Macaca mulatta: one gene and its partner. The main gene of each other region encodes a partner of the protein of the gene in region 2 in a complex. Links are inferred from orthologs where the notes say so. Each region holds a gene or a part of one and is shown on either strand. Other genes may lie near its edges. The genes, in order: BAD and BCL2L1.

Evidence for each region.
Region 1: the proteins of BCL2L1 (region 2) and BAD are in contact, whole or in part, in a crystal structure (PDB 2BZW), measured with the Mus musculus proteins. The link is inferred for Macaca mulatta from reciprocal best matches to the Homo sapiens genes BCL2L1 and BAD. Residues at the interface, in NP_001276645.1 of Mus musculus: Ala93, Glu96, Phe97, Arg100, Tyr101, Arg103, Ala104, Phe105, Leu108, Gln111, Leu112, Gln121, Ser122, Gln125, Val126, Glu129, Leu130, Arg132, Asp133, Asn136, Trp137, Gly138, Arg139, Val141, Ala142, Phe146, Asp193, Leu194, Tyr195, Gly196; in NP_031548.1 of Mus musculus: Ala137, Leu141, Ala143, Ala144, Gln145, Tyr147, Gly148, Arg149, Leu151, Arg152, Met154, Ser155, Asp156, Glu157, Phe158, Glu159, Phe162, Lys163.

What each region holds. Positions count from the first base shown.
Region 1 is NC_133419.1:10,113,483-10,117,923, reverse strand, and holds the start of BAD (bcl2-associated agonist of cell death), read right to left. Parts: upstream 2,951-4,441; 5' UTR 2,893-2,950; intron 2,627-2,892; 5' UTR 2,619-2,626; coding exon 2,432-2,618; coding exon of another isoform or gene 2,428-2,431; intron 1-2,427. UniProt on the Homo sapiens protein: Promotes cell death. Successfully competes for the binding to Bcl-X(L), Bcl-2 and Bcl-W, thereby affecting the level of heterodimerization of these proteins with BAX. Can reverse the death repressor activity of Bcl-X(L), but not that of Bcl-2.
Region 2 is NC_133415.1:84,488,949-84,492,750, forward strand, and holds part of BCL2L1 (bcl-2-like protein 1), read right to left. Parts: intron 325-3,802; coding exon 187-324; 3' UTR 1-186. UniProt on the Homo sapiens protein: Potent inhibitor of cell death. Inhibits activation of caspases. Appears to regulate cell death by blocking the voltage-dependent anion channel (VDAC) by binding to it and preventing the release of the caspase activator, CYC1, from the mitochondrial membrane.

The DNA of each region.
Region 1 (4,441 bases), on a different chromosome or scaffold from region 2:
TGTGATCTTGGCTCACTGCAACCTCCGCCTCCCGGGTTCAAGTGATTCTCCTGCCTCAGCCTCCTGAGTAGCTGGGACTATAGGTGCATGCCACCATGCTTGGCTAATTTTTGTATTTTTAGTAGAGATGGGGTTTCACCATGTTGGCCAGGCTGGTCTCCATGTCTTGACCTTGTGATCCGCTTGCCTCAGCCTCCCAAAGTGTTGAAATTACAGGTGTAAGCCTCCGTGCCCAGCTTCTTTTAACTCTTACATGCTGCCCCCATACAAATCTTCTCATCCATGATAGGATGCACTTTTGTGCTTGTTTGCTTATGGACCCACCACGTCACTAGAACGTAAGCTCCACGAGGGCAAGGATTCCTGATGCTTGGGTTCACCGAGGTCCCCCTAGCAACTGGAACAACCTGTGTCACATGGTGAACACTCACTCTGAGACACAAGTCAATGCTGAGTGTGTGTGGCGGGGGGCAGAAAGCAGGGGGAGTTTGTGAGCAGAAAAACAGCCAAGTGCAAGCTCAGAAAGTTAAAGAAAGCTGTGGAGGCCGAGCATGGTGGCTCACGCCAGTAATCCCAACACTCTGGGAGGCCAAGATGAGAGGATCGCTTGGGCCCAGGAATTCGAGACCAGGCTGGGCAACAAAGCAAGACCCCACCTCTACAAAAAATAAAAAATGAGCTGGTGTGGCAGCATGTACCTGTGGTCCCAGCTGTTCTGGAGGCTGAGGCAGGAGGATTGTTTGAGCCCAGGAGTTTGAGACCTGCCTGGGCAACAAAAGGAGACCCGCCCCTGCCCTCGTCTCTAATGAAAACATGAAAAATGTCGGGCGTGGTGGCTCACGCCTGTAATTCCAACACCTTGGGAGGCCGAGGCGGGCGGATCACAAGGTCAGGAGATAGAGACCACCCTGGCTAACATGGTGAAACCCTATGTCTACTAAAAATACAAAAAATTAGCCGGGCATGGTGACACATGCCTGTAGTCCCAGCTACCTGAAAGACTGAGGCAGGAGAATTGCTGGAACCCAGGAGGCGGAGGTTGCAGTGAGCTGAGATTGCACCACTGCACTCCAGCCTGGGTGGCAGAGTGAGACTCTGTCTCAGAAAAAAAAAAAAAAGAAAAAGTTAAAAATAAATTAACTAGGTGTAGTCCACACACCTGTATTCCCAGTTACTTGGGAGGGTAAGGTGGGAGGATCGCTTAAGCCCAGAAGTTCTAGGCTGCAGTGAGCTGAGGTCACACCTCTGTACTCCACACCTCTGTACTCCCTCCTAGGTGATAGAGCGAGACCCTGTCTCAAAACAAACAAAACAACAACAACAAAAAAAGAAAGCAAGCTATGGGATCCAATCTGAGAGAATTGAGTGTGTGTGTTTGTGCGTAAGAGAGGGAGGGGAGGCCTCTTAAGCCTTCTTAATCCTGAAAATGGGAAGGAGGTCGTTTAAGCTTCAGTGCCAGAGTGACATGACCTAGTTTTCTATTTTTAGAGATGGGGTCTGGCTATGTTGCCCAGGTTGGTCTTGAATTCCTGGGCTCAAGCCAGCCTCCTGAGCTGCTGGGACTACAGACATGGGCCACCCCACCTGGCTTGACCTGGTTTTTGTGTTCAGAAGATATATGTTGTTGTTCCAGGTGCCAAGGCCAGTGCTGGGCACAGGGGTGGTGGAGCCTACTGAGAAATGGACACTGAACCCCAGTGTCTATCCTTCCATCTTGGAGCCTGTGCTTCCCACCCCACACAGCCCTGCTGTCTGGGAGGACCGTCTGCCCCTTGAGGTCACCTGCCCCTGGCCTTTGTGCCAGGACAGGCCTGCTGTGGGCGCAAGCCTCGGGGCAAGAAAGAACACATCTGGGAGCTGGAAGGCCCAATCCCAGGGAAAGCATGTAGCCTGGGGCAGGGCACCAAGGAGTCTTCCAGCCCCCACCTTCTAAGGAAAGAAATGCCAGGCAGGTATGGCCTTAGGTAGGCCCCTTTTCCTTTTCGGATCACTGCCTGCCTGCCTGTCACTAATTTCTGTCCTGGCCCCACACTAATAGCTGCCATATATATATATACATATTTTAAGAGATGGAGTCTCCCTAAGTCACCCAGGCTGGCTTTGAACTTCTGGGCTCAAGCGATCCTCCTGCCTTGGCCTCCCAAAGTGCTGGGATTACAGGTGTGATCCGTCATGCCTGGCAGCTACCATTTTTTAGCTTTAATGTGCACCAGCTCTGTAATCAAGTGCATCCTATATGTTCCTGCTAATTAACTCAACAGTCCTACAATGGTGGTTATTAATTGCTCTGTTTTACAAAAGAGGAAACTGGGGCTCTGAGAGGTTAGGGACCGACCCAAAGCCTTCAGTGCCCGTGGATACAACTGGGATGCAGGGAGCCAGTGGGCTGGGGGTGAGGTGACCCGGCAGGTGGAGGTGGTGGGGTACTTACCTCCATGATGGCTGCTGCTGGTTGGCTGCTCCTGCTGGTGACTGGCGTCCCACAGGAGGCCTGGGGCCTGGCGATGATGCTTGCCGGAGTCTGAGGGCCTGTCCCCCGCGGGGCTGGGGCCCAGGCCCCTCTCTGCAGAGCTGGAGTCTTCCTGCTCACTAGGCTCAAACTCTGGGATCTGGAACATGCTCTGGGCTATGAGGACAAGATGTTAGGTAGTCAAGGCACAGCTGGGGCCAACGGTGGCCCTGGAAGGCAGAGGTAGGTACCCTTGGCTCCCTCTCCCACCCTAGGGCCCCCAGGCCCGCCAGGCCTCCCGGGCCCTCATTTGTCTGCTGGGTCTGGCCTGGCAGGGAGCTGATGCTGTCGGCTCAGGGCCTCAATCTCCCCTCAGAACCCTGGTGGACCCAGGCCCCTACCCAGGCCCCGCCCCGCCCGTGGTGACGGCGCACAGGTCTCACCCCAAGCCCGATCTCGAGGCCCCTGACCCGGGCCTGCCGCCTCCCTCCTGCACCCCGGGCTCCCGGCCCTAGTTGCTTGGGCAACGGGAACTGTCAGCGACCTGGCCCAATCACCTCTCGGAACGTCACTCGGGTAGGTCCAGAGGCGGGGTCAACCCGGCCCGGCCCCGCCCCCCCGCCGGACCTACGGCTACTCGCCCGCAGCCTTTTTTCTCCCTCCTGCAGCCCTGGTGCTCACATCCTCGCTGCCTCACACCTTGGACGTGTGTGGGAGCAGGAGAGGGATTCTCTGGGGTCCCCATTTGGAACCTGGAGACCCACTTCTGCCAACAAGTCCTTCAGCCCCTCTGGACCTTAGTTTCCCCCCAGTGAAGTGGGGATAGTGACAGCTCCCCCAGGAGCCAGTGAAAACTTTGTGAAGGGAGTGATTACTGCGGGCGAAGGCGCTTGGCACAGCCACAACTGAAGCTCAGCCGTCGGATGCGATTATTGTTGCTATTGTTACCGCTCCGCCTGGACTGGGTGCCCGGTCGGAAAGTCCCGCTCCCCGCTCCTCCTCCCAGGCGTGGAAGCTTCGCGCCGCCCGCCTCGGGGGACACCTCCCGCGCCACCTCGGGGGCACTGGAGATAAGGAGAGGAACCTCCTCCCTGGCTGGGATGGCTGCCCGGGCGCGGGAGGAGGGCCGGGGACCCGGTGAGGGTGGACCGTAGGGTCCGTGGGGGCTTCAGGCCTGGCAGGCGGCCGGCCAGGTGAGCAGGGCCGCGGGCGCGCCGGGGCGGGGGGCGGGCCCGCGCTGGGGATTCGGGGCTCCGCGGGTTCAGGCCCGGGGGCGGGGCCCGGGGGCCATCTTGGCTATGGGCGGAAGTTTTCTTCAGAGGCCGAGGGACGGGAATCCGTTGCCGCCCCCGGCTGGGTGGTACGACCCCGATTTGGGTATAGGAGAGAGGAGCGTGGGAATTGCCGGCCCCCCATACAAGTTAAGGCGGACCGCCCAGGCACAGCCCACCCGGGGACCCCCTGGATGCGGCACGGCCCCCGCAATTCGGCCGCCCTCCAGCCGCCTCCCGTAACCCCGGGCGCCCGCCAGCGGCGCAGCTCGCGCCAATTCTCGTACGGTTTCACGCCGGGTGCGGCGCTGGACTGCGGAGCCGGTCGGGCCCCTGCGCAATTTGCGTAGCGAACAGCGCCCGCGCAGGCGCAGGAGGGGGCGGAGCAGCGGGAGCCGGGGAGCCGGAGCCCCGGGTCCCCACGACCTGAGCCGGCTCTCCCATCAGCGGCCTGAGGACCTGGCATCCGCCTCCTCCCGCCCCTTGAGGCTGGAGAGTGGACGCGGTGGGGGGGGTGGGGCGGGGGGCAGCTTTCGAGAATTACAAGGACAGAAGGCAGAGGCCCTCCCCATCCGCATTACTGGAGGAGAGCCTCCCCCAGCTTGGGGAGGGGGAGAGCGGGGCATTGGGCGCCCCCTGCAGCGGCCGCTGCCCTGACCCGACGGGCATCGGCTGGCTCTCCCCCTCCAGCCAGGACGACACGAGCGACCGAGGCCAGGGA
Region 2 (3,802 bases):
TGGGGGTCTCACAGAAGTGTGATAAATTCTAGAAAACTAACTGCAGGGGACCAGATCTGGGCCCAACCCTGTGGTGGGTAGGTGGGCATGGCCTGCATATAGTGGTTCTCCTGGTGGCAATGGCGGCTGGACGGAGGATGTGGTGGGGCAGAGGGTGGGAGGGTAGAGTGGATAGTCAGTGTCTGGTCATTTCCGACTGAAGAGTGAGCCCAGCAGAACCACGCCGGCCACAGTCATGCCCGTCAGGAACCAGCGGTTGAAGCGCTCCTGGCCCTTTCGGCTCTCGGCTGCTGCATTGTTCCCATAGAGTTCCACAAAAGTGTCCTGCAGGGAGAGAGAAGGAAGGCGCAGTTTGAATTCTCAGAGTAATGTAGGTGGGTGGGGAAAGGGGCCATGTGCATGCTATGGCCTTGGTGACATGAAAAACTGTAGCCATCCGTGCCCACTCTGGGCCAGGTAAAGGGCTAAGGGTGGTCCTCTTTCTTGACCCTCAGTTGGTGATAACCAAACCATGTTACTGCTCAGAAAACAGGTAGAGAGGAGGAAAGTGCCCTGAGGTCAGCAAGTAGCACTTTCTCCAGAATCCAAGGTGGGAACGAGATGGGCAGGGTCAGGGAACTGATGGAAGCCAGGTGACTGGAGCAGAGTGCAGGAGAAGAGGGCATGGGGGAGATGATGGTGCAGGGGTGAGCAGGAGCCAGACCATGTGTGGCCTGGAAGCCGCGAGGAGCCTGGAGTTGAGTCTGAGGGTAGTGTGGAGTGTGGAGACACTAGGCCTCAGACTTTCTACTGCTGCACCAGAGGGAGGGACAAGGAAGCCCAGGGCTAAATCCCCAGGGTGATTTGGGGCCAATTCAGGGGTAGACTGGGTCCTGGGACTTCAGCCAGAGGCTCCTCCCTCTGGAGGGAGTCTCTGGTGGGCAGGTTGGTGATGAGAAGAGCACGGCAGAGAAGAGAGGGTAACAATGACGCAGGACTGAGAGGCCTCCATGATGGGGTCTGTGAGGCCTTGTCCCTGTCCTCCACTGCAGGGAGTGTGACTCTGCGCCCAGGAGGTTGTGATCAACAGCCCTCTGCTCCGAATCTAAGTCAGAAGGGAAGCACATGATAGGGGGAAGGAGGAGCTGTGGGCTAAACTACCCAGCCCAGGGTGCAGCAGCCTGTGGGGCAGGGAGAGGGACACTTAGAACATACTTTTTTATGAGTAAGCATTGTACCCAATTTGTCCTTTAATCCTCCCAACAATTCTGCAATGCAGGCTGTCTCTCCCCATTTACAGGCCAAGAAGCTGTGCCCAAGGGCCAAGGACCCAAGGACTAGATCAAGGTCACCCATCTGTGTCAGTGGTGGAGCCAGAATCCAAAACTGGTGTCTGGCACCTAGAAATATGTAAGAAAGAAGTTCCAGGCTGGGTGTGGTGGCTCATGCCTATAATCCCAGCACTTTGGGAGGCTGAGGCGGGTGGATCGCCTGAGGTCAGGAGTTAAGACAAGTCTGGCCAACATGGTGAAACCCCGTCTCTACTAAAAATACAAAAATTAGCCAGGTGTGGTAGCACGCACCTGTAATCCCAGTTACTCAGGAGGCTAAGGCACGAGAATTGTTTGAACCTGGGAGGTGGAGGTTGCAGGGAGCAGAAATCATACCACTGCACTCCAGCCTGGGTGACAGAGACTCCGTCTCAACAATAACAACAACAAAAAAGTAAGTTCCGTGTGTGTGTGTGTGTGTGTGTGTGTGTAAAATGAATGAGTTACTGGCTGATTCTTGCCTCTCTACCAAGACCTCTGCCACACTGGGCCTACATTTCCAACCGGTCCCAAACAGGCGAGTGGCTGCTCCGTCAGGGCATGCCATCTCCAGTTGGCCTCAGGTCTCACCTACCAATTTGCTCACTTGTGACCCCTGCCTGGGCCCACTTCCAGTCTTGACAACCCCCTCAGTCTATGCTCCACACAGAGATTTCTAAAAACACAGGTCAGATCATAGCACACCTATGCTTGAAGCCCTCCAGCAGCTTTCTCCTGCACTTAGAAGGCCAGCATCATTATTTTTGTATACCTGGTACCTAGCAAAATGCCATATGCACTGAGGTGCTAACTTGACTGAAGGAATCCTCAACATTAAGCCAGTAGAGAGCAGTGACCCATGAATCTCAGCCCTCGCACAAGCACACTCCATTCAGTCACTCCAAGTTCTCAACCTTCCCAGGGCTTCCATCACACCTGAAACAAAGTCCCCACTCCTTACCCTGGTCAGCAAGGTCTAGTGGGATCTGGCTCTAACACTTTCTGGCCTCCTCCCCACCCCTGTCCCCGCACACTTCACTCCAGTCTCACTGGCCTCCTTGCTGTTCCTCCAATGTCTCCTGCCACAGGAGTCTGCTGTTCCCACTTGCCTGGAGCACCTGACCCCAGGTCAGCGCCTGCCTCACTCCATCATTTCACAACCATGACTCCCCTCAAATGTCACCTCCTAGGTGAGACCTTCCCTGACTGCCTTGTCTAAAACAGTATACCACCCCCATCTCTCTCTGCCTGTCCTCCCCTTACCTTCCTTGATTTTTCTTCTTAGTTGTTTCTTTTTTTCTTTTTTTAGACACAGTTTTTCTCTGTCCCCCAGGTTGGAGTGCAATGGCACAATCTGGGCTCATAGCAACCTCCGCTTCCCGGGTACAAGCGATTCTCCTGAGTAGCTGGGATTACAGGCATGTGCCACCATGCCCAGCTAATTTTTGTATTTTTAGTAGAGACAGGGTTTTGCCATATTGGCCAGGCTGGTCTTGAACTCCTGACCTCAAGCGATCCGCCCGCCTCGGCCTCCCAAAGCGCTAGGATTACAGGCGTGAGCCACCAAACATATCTGGCCTTTTTTTTTTTTTTTTTTTTTTTTTTGAGACGGAGTTTCGCTCTTGTTGCCCAGGCTGGAGTACAATGGTGCAGTCTCGGCTCACCACGACCTCCGCCTCCCAGGTTCAAGCAATTCTCCTGCCTCAGCTTCCAGAGTAGCTGGGATTACAGGCGCGCGCCACCACGCCCGGCTGATTTTGTATTTTTAGTAGAGACGGGGTTTCTCCACATTGGTCAGGCTGGTTTCAAACTCCCAACCTCAGGTGATCCGCTTGCCTCAGCCTCCCAAAGTGCTGGGATTACAGGCATAAGCCACCACGCATGGCTACCATTTTTTTTTCTTGTTTTTAAAAGATGTATCCAGATTGACTTTGAACTCCTGGACTCAAGCAATCTTCCTGCCTCAGCCTCCTGATTACAGGAACTACACTACACAGAATGACCACCGTGCCAGCTTTTCTTCTCGGCGCTTCATTTTCTTATTTTTAAATTTTTGTGACACGGTCTCGCTCTGTTACCCAGACTATAGCGGCACAATCATGGCTCACTGCAGTCTTGACCTCCTGGGCTCAAGCGATCCTCCTGCCTCAGCCTCCTGAATAGCTGCCACTATAGGCACACACCACCATGCCTGGCTAAATTTCTAAATTTTTTGTAGAGACAGGGTCTCACTTTGTTGCCTAGGCTGGTCTCAAACTCCTGGGCTCAAGGGATCCTTCTGCCTCAGCCTCCCAAGTGCTGGGATTACAGGTGTGAGCCACCATGCCTGGCCTCACCACCTCACCACTTTTTTACCCCCTTAAGCTGCACCCACTCCCAGCACTTTTCATGACTAGATTCTGTACTTTGTTTTTGTTGTGATGTGTCTTCCATACTAGATGTGTCTTTTTTTTTTAAGACAAAGTCTTGCTCTGTCGCCCAGGATGGAGTGCAGTGGTGCAATCTTGGCTCAC